Saccharomyces cerevisiae S288C: one gene and its partners. The gene in region 1 interacts genetically with each later gene. Each region holds a gene or a part of one and is shown on either strand. Other genes may lie near its edges. The genes, in order: YBL036C, YHP1 and YLR159W.

Region 1 (5,304 bases):
ATTTGCCAACAATTCAAGAAATCTAATATATCAGAGATTATCCAAACAATGAGCTATTTCATTATGGGGACTGATAATACTTCGTGGAACTTCACCAGTGCCGTGGTATTAGCTCGTTGTTTGAGAGTCCTCCAAACTACTCCAGATTATACTGAGCAAGAAACCGAACGATTATTCGATTGTTTGCCTAAGAATGTCTTTAAAATGATCATGTTCATCGCCTCAAACGAATAGAGAATAGCGTGGTAGACGCGTAATTTTTTTTTACCGTGACGCGTCTCACCAGAGTTTCTTAGTTCTTTCTCTTTTCTAAAACTGTAATAATATGAGCTCTTTGTAGACACATATAACATTTTGTTTCATATACATAATATATTTGCATATAAAAATATCAAGATAATTGATTGTCAATTGGTTCAACAAAGCTTGAAGGTAAATTTAGGCAGGAGCAAGTGACTGAAAAAAAAAAAAATGAGCGGATCTATCGATGTCATCACTCATTTTGGGCCTGATGCAGACAAGCCGGAAATCATCACTGCATTAGAGAATTTAACTAAACTGCATGCATTGTCCGTCGAGGATCTATACATTAAATGGGAGCAGTTCTCCAATCAAAGGCGTCAAACTCACACAGATCTGACTTCCAAGAACATAGATGAGTTTAAACAATTTTTACAATTACAAATGGAAAAGCGTGCTAACCAAATTTCATCGTCCTCTAAGGTAAACACATCCACAAAAAAACCAGTGATTAAAAAAAGTTTGAATTCAAGTCCCTTGTTTGGCCTTAGTATTCCAAAGACTCCGACTTTAAAAAAAAGAAAGTTACATGGTCCCTTTTCACTCAGTGATTCCAAGCAAACATATAATGTAGGCTCTGAGGCAGAAACAAATGAAAAAGGAAATAGTTCTTTAAAATTGGAGTTTACTCCAGGCATGGCAGAAGATGCTGTGGGTGACAGTGCTCCATTGTCCCACGCTAAAAGCTCGGATGCCAAGACTCCCGGCTCGTCGACATTCCAAACTCCAACAACAAACACTCCTACCACATCGAGGCAAAATGTTCCTGCTGGTGAAATTTTGGATTCTTTGAACCCTGAAAATATTGAAATATCATCTGGTAATCCAAATGTAGGCCTTCTTTCGACTGAAGAACCATCATATAACCAGGTCAAAGTAGAACCATTTTATGATGCTAAAAAGTATAAATTCAGAACAATGAGGCAAAACTTACAGGAAGCGTCTGATGTCCTCGATGATCAAATTGAATCGTTTACTAAGATTATTCAAAATCACTATAAGTTATCTCCAAACGACTTCGCTGATCCAACTATTCAATCTCAGTCCGAAATTTATGCTGTTGGAAGGATAGTTCCAGATTCGCCGACCTACGACAAGTTTTTGAATCCAGAATCGCTTTCCCTAGAGACCTCAAGAATGGGCGGCGTTGGAAGAAGGGTAAGGTTAGATCTATCGCAGGTCAACGAGCTTTCGTTTTTCTTAGGCCAAATTGTGGCATTCAAAGGTAAAAATGCTAATGGGGATTACTTCACCGTTAACTCTATTTTGCCGCTACCTTATCCAAACTCCCCAGTGTCCACATCGCAGGAACTGCAGGAGTTTCAAGCAAATTTGGAAGGTTCTTCTTTGAAGGTTATCGTGACCTGTGGCCCATACTTTGCAAATGATAACTTCTCCCTCGAATTGTTGCAAGAATTTATCGATAGTATAAATAATGAGGTAAAACCTCACGTCTTGATAATGTTTGGCCCATTTATAGATATCACCCATCCTCTGATAGCGAGTGGTAAATTGCCAAATTTTCCCCAGTTCAAGACACAGCCCAAAACATTGGACGAGCTTTTTTTGAAGTTATTTACTCCTATTCTAAAAACCATATCACCACATATCCAAACCGTATTGATACCCTCCACAAAAGATGCAATTTCTAATCACGCCGCATATCCACAAGCTTCTTTAATTAGAAAGGCTTTACAGCTGCCTAAAAGGAACTTCAAATGCATGGCTAATCCTTCATCTTTTCAAATAAATGAGATATACTTCGGTTGCTCAAACGTTGATACATTCAAAGATCTAAAGGAAGTCATAAAAGGCGGTACTACCTCATCAAGATATAGATTAGATCGTGTTTCTGAGCATATTTTACAACAGCGCAGGTATTACCCCATATTTCCAGGTAGTATTCGTACAAGAATAAAACCAAAAGACGTATCTACGAAGAAGGAAACCAATGATATGGAAAGCAAAGAAGAAAAAGTTTATGAACATATATCTGGTGCAGATTTAGACGTGAGTTATCTGGGACTAACAGAGTTTGTTGGTGGGTTCTCGCCTGACATAATGATTATACCCAGTGAATTACAACACTTTGCAAGAGTTGTCCAAAACGTAGTTGTTATAAATCCCGGAAGATTTATTAGAGCAACAGGTAACAGGGGATCCTATGCACAAATTACTGTCCAATGCCCTGATCTTGAAGACGGGAAATTGACGCTTGTTGAAGGTGAAGAGCCAGTTTATCTACACAACGTGTGGAAGCGCGCTAGAGTTGACTTGATTGCTAGTTGATATATTTAATTCAAACTTAACTAATGGAATAGCTCAAGGTAGCACCAAAAAGTATTGTTATACACCTGAACTATCGACCTTGAAACTGGCTCTATAACTTACTTATTGATTAAAGACCATAACATGATCAGTATCCGGGTAATAAAGTAACGTGATCAGAGGCCAGAGAAAATGTTCATAAGTAGAGACTACTCTTAAATGCATAATAAAAAAAAAAACTGATAGGCATCACTCTTTCCTTTTTGACTAAGATTCCAGCATCACATTGCAATATGTCCACTGGTATTACTTATGATGAAGATAGAAAGACACAATTAATTGCCCAATACGAATCTGTAAGGGAAGTTGTGAATGCAGAGGCAAAAAATGTTCATGTTAATGAAAATGCCTCCAAAATTTTATTATTGGTTGTTTCGAAATTGAAACCAGCTAGCGATATACAAATTCTTTACGACCATGGTGTGAGGGAGTTCGGGGAAAACTATGTTCAAGAGTTGATCGAAAAGGCAAAATTACTACCAGACGATATCAAGTGGCACTTTATTGGCGGTTTGCAAACGAATAAATGTAAAGATTTGGCTAAAGTGCCAAATTTATACTCTGTTGAAACAATCGACTCCTTGAAGAAAGCCAAAAAATTAAACGAATCGAGGGCTAAATTTCAACCAGATTGCAACCCAATATTGTGTAATGTTCAAATTAATACCTCCCATGAGGATCAAAAATCGGGCTTGAATAATGAAGCAGAAATATTTGAAGTCATCGACTTCTTCTTATCCGAAGAATGCAAGTATATTAAGTTGAATGGGTTAATGACTATTGGTTCATGGAACGTCTCTCATGAAGATAGCAAAGAAAACAGAGACTTTGCTACGCTGGTTGAGTGGAAGAAGAAGATTGATGCTAAATTTGGTACATCATTGAAATTGTCTATGGGGATGAGTGCTGATTTCAGGGAGGCTATAAGGCAAGGAACAGCGGAAGTCAGAATTGGTACCGACATTTTTGGTGCTAGACCTCCAAAAAATGAAGCTAGAATCATTTAGTAGGTTGAATGAACTGAGATTTTATACGAAGATCTTTTTTTTTATAGCATTACAACACAAAATGAAAATAAATAGAATCTCAAATATATATATATATGTGTGTGTGTGTTTATATATGTACAATGCGGATGATTTTCATTATAGTGAATTTGAGAAAATTTTACTTCGTAAGCACATTCTTTATACATTCGACAATGTACTTCGCCAGGGGACCGGCCGTCGTTGTTTTACAGGTAACATTAACTGTTCCATTTACCTGGTATTGTATCTTCATTAAACAACCGAAGTTTCCCTCACTTTTCGTATGAATAATACCCGAGACAAACAATGTACTACGAACACTGGTCTGATCGACTATATCAAAGCCCAACCTCTTCACTGTTTGCGTCAATAGTAGAAGTCCGTCTTCTAAACTGATTGTTTCAACTTTTCTAAAATCCTTGTTGAGCTTTATGCCAGATTTTTGGTATTCTCCCTCTTTTCCCAAAGCATCGCTCAAAGTCTTCCAACGGCTGATGAACTGTGCCAAATTCAAATGCATGCTAGGATTGACATCGCTGCTAATTAGTGTTGTAGTCATGCCTATGGCAGTTTTCAAATTGATAGTGTTTGTACTACCGCCACATTTGAAATGAATTGCCAAAATTGGACTATCTTCAACGTCGAAAGGTTTTCTTATTGAAACTTCATAGCTTTGCTCTGCCCTTTTATGGGGCCCAATAGTAGCAGTAGAAGGTGTATTAATATTCATAATTAAATACTCAGGATTACCTTGCGTTTTTGAAGGGATAATCTGTGTGGATAATCCCGTGATTTCCCACTCAGTCAGGTTAATGAAGGCAAGAGATATATGAAACACGTATGGCTGTTGTGCATCAGGAGTGGTTATCCGATAGAAAACTTTCATCAAAGATGATGTGAAAAGCACACCCTGCTTATGCGAAATCATTCTTGTGAAACCTTCCCTCCAATTTGGAGCGAGGATCTGCCTTGAATAATAAGAGTCCTTTCCTGAAAAGTCTTCAGATGAACTAATTTTGGAATTTACATCATCAATGGTGTTCCTACGAGATGGTGGGGGCATGGGAACCATGATCGACCTGGAAGAGTTTGCTCTTTTTGATAGTAAGTCAGGCGTGGAGGAGGATGCTTCGGATGGTGTATTTATTAAAGTTGTGCTACCCGCTGATGCCGGCAGTGACCCTAATCTCTTCAATAATGGATTAGATTTGCTGTTAAAAGGCGGCATTGGTTCAAATAAAATTTGCAAAATATCTGTATTTCCGTTCACCTTAGCCAGTTGAATAATGTTGAGATATTCGAAGGATCTTGTTTGCAACTCAATATCAAGAGAGTTCAATTCCAATTGGAAAAATTTGATGACGTTGGAGCCGATCTCAGGTGAGGTCTTGTACAACTTGATCATCGTAGTCAATATCATCGCCTTAGCCACATTTGGTGCACTAAAATATTTCTCGGCAAACAAAGTAAATAAATTTGCGCTTGAAATCCTGTCTGTTATGAGACTTGAGTACTCCCCTAGTAGAAAAGCCGCAGCTTTAATAATAGCTTCAGATGCTTGCTTTTTACATAAATAGTCCACCAACCGTTCACATGTTATTCTATGTAAAGATGGATTGTTCACTACAATTTGACATAGTCGTTGCCA
Region 2 (5,747 bases), on another chromosome or scaffold:
TCAATACCTTAAATTAACTTTTACAAAGTATTTTTTTTAAACGGCCCATGAGCATAAATTGAGAACGATATTATTAATTCTAGTATATTTTAGGAACAGCAGGCCATTATATCCAAAACTTTTTTAAAATAGCATCCACATCACTTACTGGCGTACAGTTTCGTGTCTGGCAACAAAAAAGTACATTTAATTTCAATGATTAAAAAGACATTAAACATCCGTACATTACGCACCCATGCATGCTATCTGAAAATATTCTACATGCTGCTTTTAGAAATTTGAAGCGGCATATGGTGTTTCCTTGCGGAGACGCGCGCTCAGGGGAACTGCGATTCCGAAAGATGCCTTTCCCAGTCCCATATGCCCATCCCAAGATCATGCCCGGGAGAGCAAATGTCGCCCCAGCCAGGTCGGACACATCTGTCATTCGACCACTAAGTATTGTCAAAGCTAGGGTTAATTGAAGATAGCTCTACATGTTATTAGTAGAGTTTTTAAACGTTGAGATACTAGTGAACGTATACACAAGAGCGGATAAAAGATGTCTTTAGTTGTCCAAGAACAAGGTTCCTTCCAACACATTTTACGGTATGTTTATTATTACTAGTGAGCTATGACAAAATCGGCTAAAAACTTAAAAATATGACAGACAAGAAAGGAAATTCATTCACCTCTTTAATCGTGGCGATTATTCGCTAACGACGTGATTAAATATAATAATGATGTTCCCGGGCTGGACTAAGAACGTAATAATAAGGCTGATGAACAAATTTATGGTTTATGCATCAAAAAGGAACATGAATTTGGCATAAGCGCACATAATTACGGAACATTGCAATAGCGGTCGGAGGTAAAGTACCGGGAATGCTTTACAATGAATCAGCTATTGGCGGATATTGACCAACCAACACTAAAATTTTATATCCTGCTCCGATTTTTGTCTTGGCCGTGAAATCCATTATGCACATTTTTTACTAACGTTTATCAATAAGTTCGGTTTCCCGTCTAAATTTTTTTACGCAGTTTGTTGAACACTAACGTTGACGGTAACATTAAGATCGTTTACGCTTTGACCACTATCAAGGGTGTTGGTCGTCGTTACTCCAACTTGGTCTGTAAGAAGGCTGATGTTGATTTACACAAGAGAGCTGGTGAATTGACCCAAGAAGAATTGGAAAGAATTGTTCAAATTATGCAAAACCCAACTCACTACAAAATCCCAGCTTGGTTCTTGAACCGTCAAAATGACATCACTGATGGTAAGGACTACCACACTTTGGCTAACAACGTCGAATCCAAATTGAGAGATGACTTGGAAAGATTAAAGAAAATCAGAGCTCATCGTGGTATCAGACACTTCTGGGGTTTGCGTGTTAGAGGTCAACACACCAAGACCACTGGTAGAAGAAGAGCTTAAACTGATAAGATTATTCAAGCTTAATCTTTTTTGTACGAGTACATATATTTCCATAGCACTTCCTAATTGACTTTTTTTTAAAATAAATAAAGAAAAGAAAATTAATTTTGTGACCATAATTTCAACTTGCCTTTTTTTTGTACAGGGTTTCAGGGATAAATGGACCCTTGAAAGAATATAATATTACATCTCTATATAGATTTATGAAACAGGCCGCTTTAAATCTAAAAAAAAACGTTGGTGTAGTCTCAGTCATTACTTTGTGTAGTTTTTGTTAATATTGATAGCATCAGTGCTCAAGAAAATAAACACTGAGAAAGATTAGTTTTTGAAAGAATTGAGATCGACCTCCCCAAGGGGTTTTCTTTCGTATGCATTGAACTTTAGGCGGTTTTCCTTGCCTTTAGGACTTTTGATAATCTCGCTATGACCGGTATTTGATAATGTTCTCTTAACAAGCACAGATTTCCTGTGGAACTTGAGCTGTCCGCCGGGCTTGCAAGGCGTTATGTGGTGGTCTTCGAAGATCGAGGACGTATTGGCAGGTGAAGTTTTCAGCAACTCTGCAGTAATAGCCTCCTTCGTACTCGTTGGCGTAGAGGTAATTTCCAACGCAGCGTCTGAGTAAGATATCATAGACATCGAATCATTAGAGTGAACTTTGCAATGGCTGGTGTTGCCACTGTTCTTGTGCTTTTTAGCAGCCTGCCTTTTGTTCTGAAACCATATTTGAACCGATTTTTCGGACATATTACATTGCTCGGATAACTCTATCCTTTTAGCCTTATTGGGCGTGGGACATTCGTCAAATGCTGTTTGCAATATCCCAAGCTCATATGATGAAGTTCTTCTTCTTTTCCGACGAGCTAACCGAGCATTGTCTATCTTAGGCTCCTTCTTTGGAAAAGTTTCCTGTGAGTGTGTAATAAAGGCAAATGACCTTTTCTTTTCTTTTCTTGTGGTTGGTGTGAGAACAGCCTTTGCAGCAGATAGAGGAGTAAGAATATTAACTTTTTTATAAGAGTGCATACTCTGAGGTGGCTGCTCTTTAGAACAGACTCTGACCGTTGGCGTGAATGGTGAATGAGAGCTCAGCTTCTTGGGCTTGGATAAAGGCGTCATGGAAGTGGTTACACGTTGTGATAAGAAATCCACAGCCTGTGGACTTTTCCTTTTTGGCCTTTCCTCATCGCAAGGACTTTTATAAATATTTACCACTGGTCTCACAATGTGCGCAGATGCAGCTAATGGTGGCAACCTGATGTCACCTTGGTCATCACTAGGGAAGTTTGTATTTGGCAAAGTATGCAGTTGGAAAGGCGAATTAGAAGTACCTGTAATAATGTTTGGTAAAGAAGGAAGCACGGTATTTCTGCTTTCCATGTTATATATATACGATATTTTGTGTTATTGTTATTTCCCTACAAATGCTAGTTACACTGGCTGGCGAGGGTAAAGAAGAAGATAATACGAATTATAATCTACGTTGGCAAGATCGGGAGGACGCCATATATATATTTATAAACATTCATCTGTGTGATCCAGATCAAACAAATAAACAATGAGTAAACGAAAAATCTGGCTGAAATGTCTCATGCTATTAACCCAATTCAGCATTGATATTAAAAATACCGACGTATCCCTGCACGGAAAGCGCGTCTGATGTTTACCATTCCGGGTTTTTGGCGCGCGTCATGTCCAAATTAGGACGTGGTTTATAGCCGAAAGAGGAAATGTGATCTGCCCACCTGTGCGGCCCTTCTCTGAGCGTTTCGAGCAGGATGCATAATATGCTCCCTTCGTACGGTAGAGGACAAATATGACCATTACCCGACTATTGAGGACATATGTCGTTATTAGAATTTAGCACCTTTAAAGTTATATTGCACTTTTAATTACCAAGATTCATTTGAGAGTGTAAAGGGTTTTATGGTAGAATACAAGTCAGAAGAAGGCTAAAATCAACAGATCAATATTTTTTTTGGTTGTTGGGTTGGAGAATTATAAAGTTTTTTTGATCTCCTTGTCTCCAGCTATTGTTTTCATTGAGTAGGGGTAGAGCTAGTTAGCTGCTTTTCGATGGTTGTAGTGGGTAAGAGTGAAGTGCGCAATGTAAGCATGAGTAGGCCGAAGAAGAAATCATTGATTGCCATCCTGTCGACCTGTGTTTTGTTTTTCCTCGTGTTTATAATTGGTGCTAAATTTCAATATGTTTCCGTTTTCTCCAAATTCTTAGATGACAGGGGGGACAACGAGTCACTTCAATTGCTCAATGACATAGAATTTACAAGGCTAGGACTGACACCTAGGGAGCCAGTAATTATCAAAGACGTAAAGACAGGGAAGGAGAGAAAATTACATGGACGGTTCCTTCATATTACCGATATTCATCCTGACCCTTATTATGTGGAAGGAAGCTCTATTGATGCAGTTTGTCACACAGGAAAACCAAGCAAAAAAAAGGATGTGGCACCCAAGTTTGGGAAGGCAATGTCTGGATGTGATTCTCCCGTTATTTTAATGGAAGAAACTCTGAGATGGATTAAAGAAAATCTTAGAGATAAGATTGATTTTGTCATTTGGACGGGTGATAATATCAGACATGACAATGACCGGAAACATCCAAGAACAGAAGCACAAATTTTTGATATGAACAATATCGTTGCTGATAAAATGACAGAATTATTTAGTGCTGGCAATGAAGAAGATCCAAGAGATTTTGATGTGTCTGTCATTCCAAGTCTTGGAAACAATGATGTCTTTCCACATAACATGTTTGCACTAGGACCAACTCTACAAACTAGAGAATATTATAGGATTTGGAAAAATTTTGTTCCGCAGCAGCAGCAAAGAACTTTTGATAGGAGTGCTTCATTTTTGACTGAAGTTATTCCAGGGAAGCTTGCTGTCCTGTCAATTAACACGCTGTACTTATTCAAGGCCAATCCGTTAGTTGACAATTGTAATTCAAAAAAAGAACCAGGTTACCAACTTTTACTTTGGTTCGGTTATGTATTAGAAGAACTAAGGAGTAGGGGAATGAAAGTATGGTTAAGTGGACATGTACCTCCAATCGCAAAAAATTTCGATCAGTCGTGCTACGATAAGTTCACGCTATGGACTCACGAATACAGGGATATAATCATTGGAGGATTATACGGTCACATGAATATTGACCACTTCATCCCAACGGATGGTAAAAAAGCTAGAAAATCGTTATTGAAAGCCATGGAGCAATCCACTCGTGTTCAACAAGGAGAAGACAGTAATGAAGAGGACGAAGAAACTGAATTGAATAGAATTCTGGATCACGCTATGGCGGCAAAAGAAGTTTTTTTAATGGGAGCGAAACCATCTAACAAAGAAGCATATATGAACACCGTCCGCGACACATACTATCGGAAAGTGTGGAATAAGCTGGAAAGAGTGGATGAAAAAAATGTTGAAAATGAGAAGAAAAAGAAAGAAAAGAAGGACAAAAAAAAGAAAAAGCCAATCACTAGAAAAGAGCTCATTGAACGCTATTCCATTGTGAACATAGGTGGTTCAGTCATTCCAACTTTCAATCCTTCCTTTAGGATCTGGGAATATAACATCACCGACATAGTGAATGACTCCAATTTTGCAGTTTCGGAGTATAAGCCCTGGGATGAATTTTTCGAGTCACTAAATAAGATTATGGAAGACTCTTTGCTAGAAGATGAAATGGACAGCAGTAATATCGAGGTTGGGATCAACCGCGAGAAGATGGGCGAAAAGAAAAACAAGAAGAAAAAGAAAAATGACAAGACTATGCCAATTGAGATGCCAGACAAATACGAACTCGGCCCTGCATATGTACCGCAGTTATTCACTCCGACGCGTTTCGTCCAATTCTACGCCGACTTGGAAAAAATCAATCAAGAATTACATAATTCATTTGTTGAATCTAAGGATATTTTCAGGTATGAGATAGAATATACCTCAGACGAGAAACCATACTCAATGGATTCGTTAACAGTAGGAAGTTATTTGGATCTTGCAGGCAGATTATACGAAAACAAACCTGCATGGGAAAAATACGTCGAATGGTCATTTGCGTCTTCTGGATATAAAGATGATTAAGTTAATATACACATAGAAATGCATATCATTCTTCAATTACAGTTTCTTTTTCTTTTGTTACACTATTCTTTCAAGTCAATTTCATAATAATACAAAACCATCTTTCTTATCATATATAGGGTGATGTATTTTTAATTATTTAATAGGGCCTAGCGTTATCGTGCGAAGATTAATTATTGGCATTTTTGAAATACTCCTTGGAATCTTTAACGTCAGGTTTGATGGT
Region 3 (5,175 bases), on another chromosome or scaffold:
CCGAGTAGTGTAGTGGGTGACCATACGCGAAACTCAGGTGCTGCAGTTGTTTTTTTTTTCGCGCACGAATACATCACGCAGCCTCGCCTTGACACTGCTCAAGGGATAAGGGGAAGGAGCTGAGATAGAACTGAGTTGGAGCGTTGCAGCGGCACGAGCAGTGAAAAGAGCGAAGAGAAGAGAAGCAGATAAAAGACCAAAGTAGCGATGATACTTCGATGTTTGGAGCGATTTTTCCTATGTGAATATTAGAAATCATATGTTTTGTATCAGCTGAACAGTGAATGATGTGCTCAATACTCAAATTCATCTTTTTGTTTGCTAAAAATAGCTTAACTGGCACATCATGAAAAGGATGTAGAAATTATAGAGTATATTTACTACTAAGAACTATATAAAAACACAGTGTGATGAAAAGTCACTGATCAGGCTTTAACCACCGTAGACGCCAGAAAAAACAGACCTAATCTGATCCATGCCGTAGCCGGAGTACAAACATAATTGTAGCAAAATACGCGATTTTTGAGGGTTTAGGTAGCCAGATCCAATGGCGTACTCTGGGGCATCATCTGGAGGAACTGTACCATCTGCTGTTCTTCTGCTGTGAACAATTGGTATACCATACTCTTCATAAAGTTGTTCGTTTACAATACTACCCGTAGCAGTCCAGGAACCAGCTCCAGAACCCGCCAACACGATACCTTTTGCGCCCAGGTCCTTGACGGCCTTTACTATTAGCTCAGGATTCAAGCCTTGATAGGAGTACAGAATAATGACTTCTGGAATTTCCGAAGGGTCTGTGAGGTTGGAAATGTCAAAAAATTGCCATCCATTTGGCTTGACTGGTGGGTAGTAAAACTCCACGTCATCATTTGAAAAGTAACCTAAATATCCCTGTTCATCCGCTCTGAATGTATCTAAAGAGTTGGCATTCATTTTCGTTGTCCAAAACCCAGAGGCAATACGATCGTTTAGAGTGATCATCGTGCCACGACCCAGTGATTTCTCAGAAGCAGCAATAGACACTGCTTGATATAAATTCATTGGGCCATCAGCAGACGTGGCAGTGGCTGGACGCATAGCGCCTGCGATACATACTGGCTTCTCTGAATTTATGGTCAAATCTAAGAAGAAAGCTGTCTCCTCCATAGTGTCGGTCCCATGAGTGACAACCGCACCAGCGTAGTCATCAGAGGCTAGTGCCTCGGAGATACCGTGATACAATGGGATCAGATGCGTATAGTTTAAAGAATTTGAACCAACGTTAGACACTTGAAGATAGTCCAGATTTGCCTTCTCAGCTAAAGATGGGACGGCTTCTATTAAATCATTTACGGTTAATCCCACGCTATAACCCGCCGTTGTTGCACTTGTCGAACCCTTGGAAGCGATAGTACCGCCGGTACCAAAAATTTTGATTGATGGCAAAGAAGAATTCTTCTCTTCACGAATTTTTAGTAGTGGAGCACCACTGGACATTGCGACAAAGAGAGAAAGTAAAAGGGTATTTAAAGATCTCATAGTTGGAGGTTGGTGAGTACCAGATTGCTTACAAAAGAATAGCGAGCCAACATTTGCTCTGCCTCAGGCCTCTTGGTGCTGCTTGAAGACTCATCTTATATGGCTTTTGTATGTCATGATTTGTTCTTGTACATTATGTGTTGATATTAAACAAATTGATTTTTTTTTTTTTGCGATAGCAAGCAGATAATGAAAGAGACAAGGACTTGGAACATCCGATAAGACTGCGCCGATATCGATCTTACAGTCCTTCCCTTGTGTCATGACTTTCGGAAAAGCATCCTCGTCGACTGGTAGTTTGCTGTCTGTCACGTGCTGAAGGGTCTGATACATTTTTTTAAAGATAAGAGACGGGGTTTACCCTTCGGAGGACTAAGCGAGATCTCCAAGTAAAGATCTCGCTTATCAAGAAAGCAGCCAAGTGTGGAACGTCCTTTTTTTTGGTTTCAAAAAGATATTCAACAGTTTACACTGCAGCTTTAATTGCCTCAAAAGGATATCATGAGGTGATCTAGGGTCAGAAGGGAAAGATTACAGCATCTTGAGTTGAATCACATCTGCAAAAGGTGGTATTATTGACGTTGCTCTTCCTTAATGGAAACTCATGGGGTTTGGAAAGGAGGTGCGGTAATCTATTTTTTTCGAACACAAAACCTAACCTTGAAAAGAAACTGTCCAATTTCATTGAACTTACCTCAGAACGGGCCGGAGTCTTTGCTTTCAGTCTAACATGGTCTAATTTCTTCGAAAAGCTTCATTTAATTGTTAGACTGTGGTTTTACAAGGAAAAAACCAGTGCTATACTGAAGCGATACCCAGAACTAATTACCTTGTGTGACGATTCGGCTCAGCGAAACGGACATGGTAAAATTGGGAATTTGAAAGCAGGCAGCAGCCTTGTACAGCGACATGACGATAGGTTTAGAATCCCCATCACGTACGAGTTGAAGAATTCTACGAAGGCTCTATGCGTTATTCCTCTATCGGTATAAAGTGTAGCGTTGTAGGGGGGATATTGGTGGTTTAGTTGAATTTGCGCAACGAAATTATAGAACTCATAAAAGTTCAATTCAATACTTGAAACCCTTAACGTTGGTTCGACCATCAATTGTTTGGACATAATAGTTTTATTCTGCGGCCGATTTCAAAATTTAGTAAATCAAATGTTGAAGCATCACCAGTAGGATGACCACTCCCATGACAAAACTCCGTCCCAAAGATAGCTTGATCATCCTAAGCGGGTCGCATTTTACTATCCCCAGTTCCGAAGAATAACAAGGCTCAATGCATATGCTGTTTATCGTGCTCACAAGGCGGTATGACGTTTTTAGCAATGTAATTATATTAAAAAGATCTTCAGTCACTATGAGTGGTTGATTGCCCCATAGAGAGCTATAAGCCGACGTGAAAGCTGCTGGTTCCAGCTTGGCTCATGTCGTCACCAGTCACTAGTCACTTGGTCGCATTCATTGCTACTCATCTGCGAGTGAGCATATTTGAGATCTGACTTGCCAAGGGATTAGAATCACGTAAGACTCTTGATCCTTAGAAGATATTTCTGACAAAGAACCACCTAAGCCATGCAAGTTTTTTTTTTCATTTGGTGGCGAAACAAAGGTGATGAAAGTTTCTTCTTGTACAAACGCCAAGCCCGATAGGTGAGACAATTCTTGAAGTAATGGACCTCTGAGTAAGCATATCAGTCGAATGAAGTTCCAATATGCGTTGGCCAAGGAACAGCTAGGCAGCAACTCGCGCAGTGGCGTCAAAAAACTAATAAGTAAACACCACTGGCTTCCGGAATACTATTTCTCTGATCTCTCATTTTCTGTTGTACAGCAGTGGGACAGTAGAGCCATTGAAAAAACTACAATCATATCTTGTATGCGGCCCGCAAACCAAGAGATTTATCCTTTGAGACATTGTGAGACCCTCCGTTCGCAACCGTGCTCTCTGTTTTCATCACTATATGCACGCTCTTTCCAAAGCTCCTGCACTTTGCACGTGGCGGAGCCATCGCCCGGCTTCCATATGTACGGCTGCCACACCTAACTATTTCGGTTGCGGCCATATCTACCAGAAAGCACCGTTTCCCGTCCGATCAACTGTAGTTAAGCTGGTAAGAGCCTGACCGAGTAGTGTAGTGGGTGACCATACGCGAAACTCAGGTGCTGCAGTTGTTTTTTTTTTCGCGCACGAATACATCACGCAGCCTCGCCTTGACACTGCTCAAGGGATAAGGGGAAGGAGCTGAGATAGAACTGAGTTGGAGCGTTGCAGCGGCACGAGCAGTGAAAAGAGCGAAGAGAAGAGAAGCAGATAAAAGACCAAAGTAGCGATGATACTTCGATGTTTGGAGCGATTTTTCCTATGTGAATATTAGAAATCATATGTTTTGTATCAGCTGAACAGTGAATGATGTGCTCAATACTCAAATTCATCTTTTTGTTTGCTAAAAATAGCTTAACTGGCACATCATGAAAAGGATGTAGAAATTATAGAGTATATTTACTACTAAGAACTATATAAAAACACAGTGTGATGAAAAGTCACTGATCAGGCTTTAACCACCGTAGACGCCAGAAAAAACAGACCTAATCTGATCCATGCCGTAGCCGGAGTACAAACATAATTGTAGCAAAATACGCGATTTTTGAGGGTTTAGGTAGCCAGATCCAATGGCGTACTCTGGGGCATCATCTGGAGGAACTGTACCATCTGCTGTTCTTCTGCTGTGAACAATTGGTATACCATACTCTTCATAAAGTTGTTCGTTTACAATACTACCCGTAGCAGTCCAGGAACCAGCTCCAGAACCCGCCAACACGATACCTTTTGCGCCCAGGTCCTTGACGGCCTTTACTATTAGCTCAGGATTCAAGCCTTGATAGGAGTACAGAATAATGACTTCTGGAATTTCCGAAGGGTCTGTGAGGTTGGAAATGTCAAAAAATTGCCATCCATTTGGCTTGACTGGTGGGTAGTAAAACTCCACGTCATCATTTGAAAAGTAACCTAAATATCCCTGTTCATCCGCTCTGAATGTATCTAAAGAGTTGGCATTCATTTTCGTTGTCCAAAACCCAGAGGCAATACGATCGTTTAGAGTGATCATCGTGCCACGACCCAGTGATTTCTCAGAAGCAGCAATAGACACTGCTTGATATAAATTCATTGGGCCATCAGCAGACGTGGCAGTGGCTGGACGCATAGCGCCTGCGATACATACTGGCTTCTCTGAATTTATGGTCAAATCTAAGAAGAAAGCTGTCTCCTCCATAGTGTCGGTCCCATGAGTGACAACCGCACCAGCGTAGTCATCAGAGGCTAGTGCCTCGGAGATACCGTGATACAATGGGATCAGATGCGTATAGTTTAAAGAATTTGAACCAACGTTAGACACTTGAAGATAGTCCAGATTTGCCTTCTCAGCTAAAGATGGGACGGCTTCTATTAAATCATTTACGGTTAATCCCACGCTATAACCCGCCGTTGTTGCACTTGTCGAACCCTTGGAAGCGATAGTACCGCCGGTACCAAAAATTTTGATTGATGGCAAAGAAGAATTCTTCTCTTCACGAATTTTTAGTAGTGGAGCACCACTGGACATTGCGACAAAGAGAGAAAGTAAAAGGGTATTTAAAGATCTCATAG

Evidence for each region.
Region 2: mutations in YBL036C (region 1) and YHP1 together harm fitness less than expected from each alone (positive genetic interaction), as found in Saccharomyces cerevisiae (one large-scale study listed by BioGRID).
Region 3: mutations in YBL036C (region 1) and YLR159W together harm fitness more than expected from each alone (negative genetic interaction), as found in Saccharomyces cerevisiae (one large-scale study listed by BioGRID).

Annotation. Positions count from the first base shown.
Region 1 is NC_001134.8:148,778-154,081, reverse strand, and holds YBL036C (pyridoxal phosphate homeostasis protein), read left to right. Parts: upstream 1-2,861; coding exon 2,862-3,635; downstream 3,636-5,304. Other genes in the region: STU1 (Stu1p), read left to right, coding at 1-234; DNA-directed DNA polymerase alpha subunit POL12, read left to right, coding at 472-2,589; APL3 (Apl3p), read right to left, coding at 3,796-5,304. UniProt on the Saccharomyces cerevisiae protein: Pyridoxal 5'-phosphate (PLP)-binding protein, which may be involved in intracellular homeostatic regulation of pyridoxal 5'-phosphate (PLP), the active form of vitamin B6.
Region 2 is NC_001136.10:1,359,382-1,365,128, forward strand, and holds YHP1 (Yhp1p), read right to left. Parts: upstream 2,801-5,747; coding exon 1,739-2,800; downstream 1-1,738. Other genes in the region: 40S ribosomal protein uS13 RPS18A, read left to right, coding at 542-588, 1,024-1,417; PPN1 (endopolyphosphatase), read left to right, coding at 3,497-5,521; thioredoxin peroxidase TSA2, read right to left, coding at 5,691-5,747.
Region 3 is NC_001144.5:482,117-487,291, forward strand, and holds YLR159W (uncharacterized protein), read left to right. Parts: upstream 1-3,228; coding exon 3,229-3,573; downstream 3,574-5,175. Other genes in the region: YLR157C-C (uncharacterized protein), read right to left, coding at 1-74; asparaginase ASP3-3, read right to left, coding at 433-1,521; YLR159C-A (uncharacterized protein), read right to left, coding at 3,595-3,726; asparaginase ASP3-4, read right to left, coding at 4,085-5,173.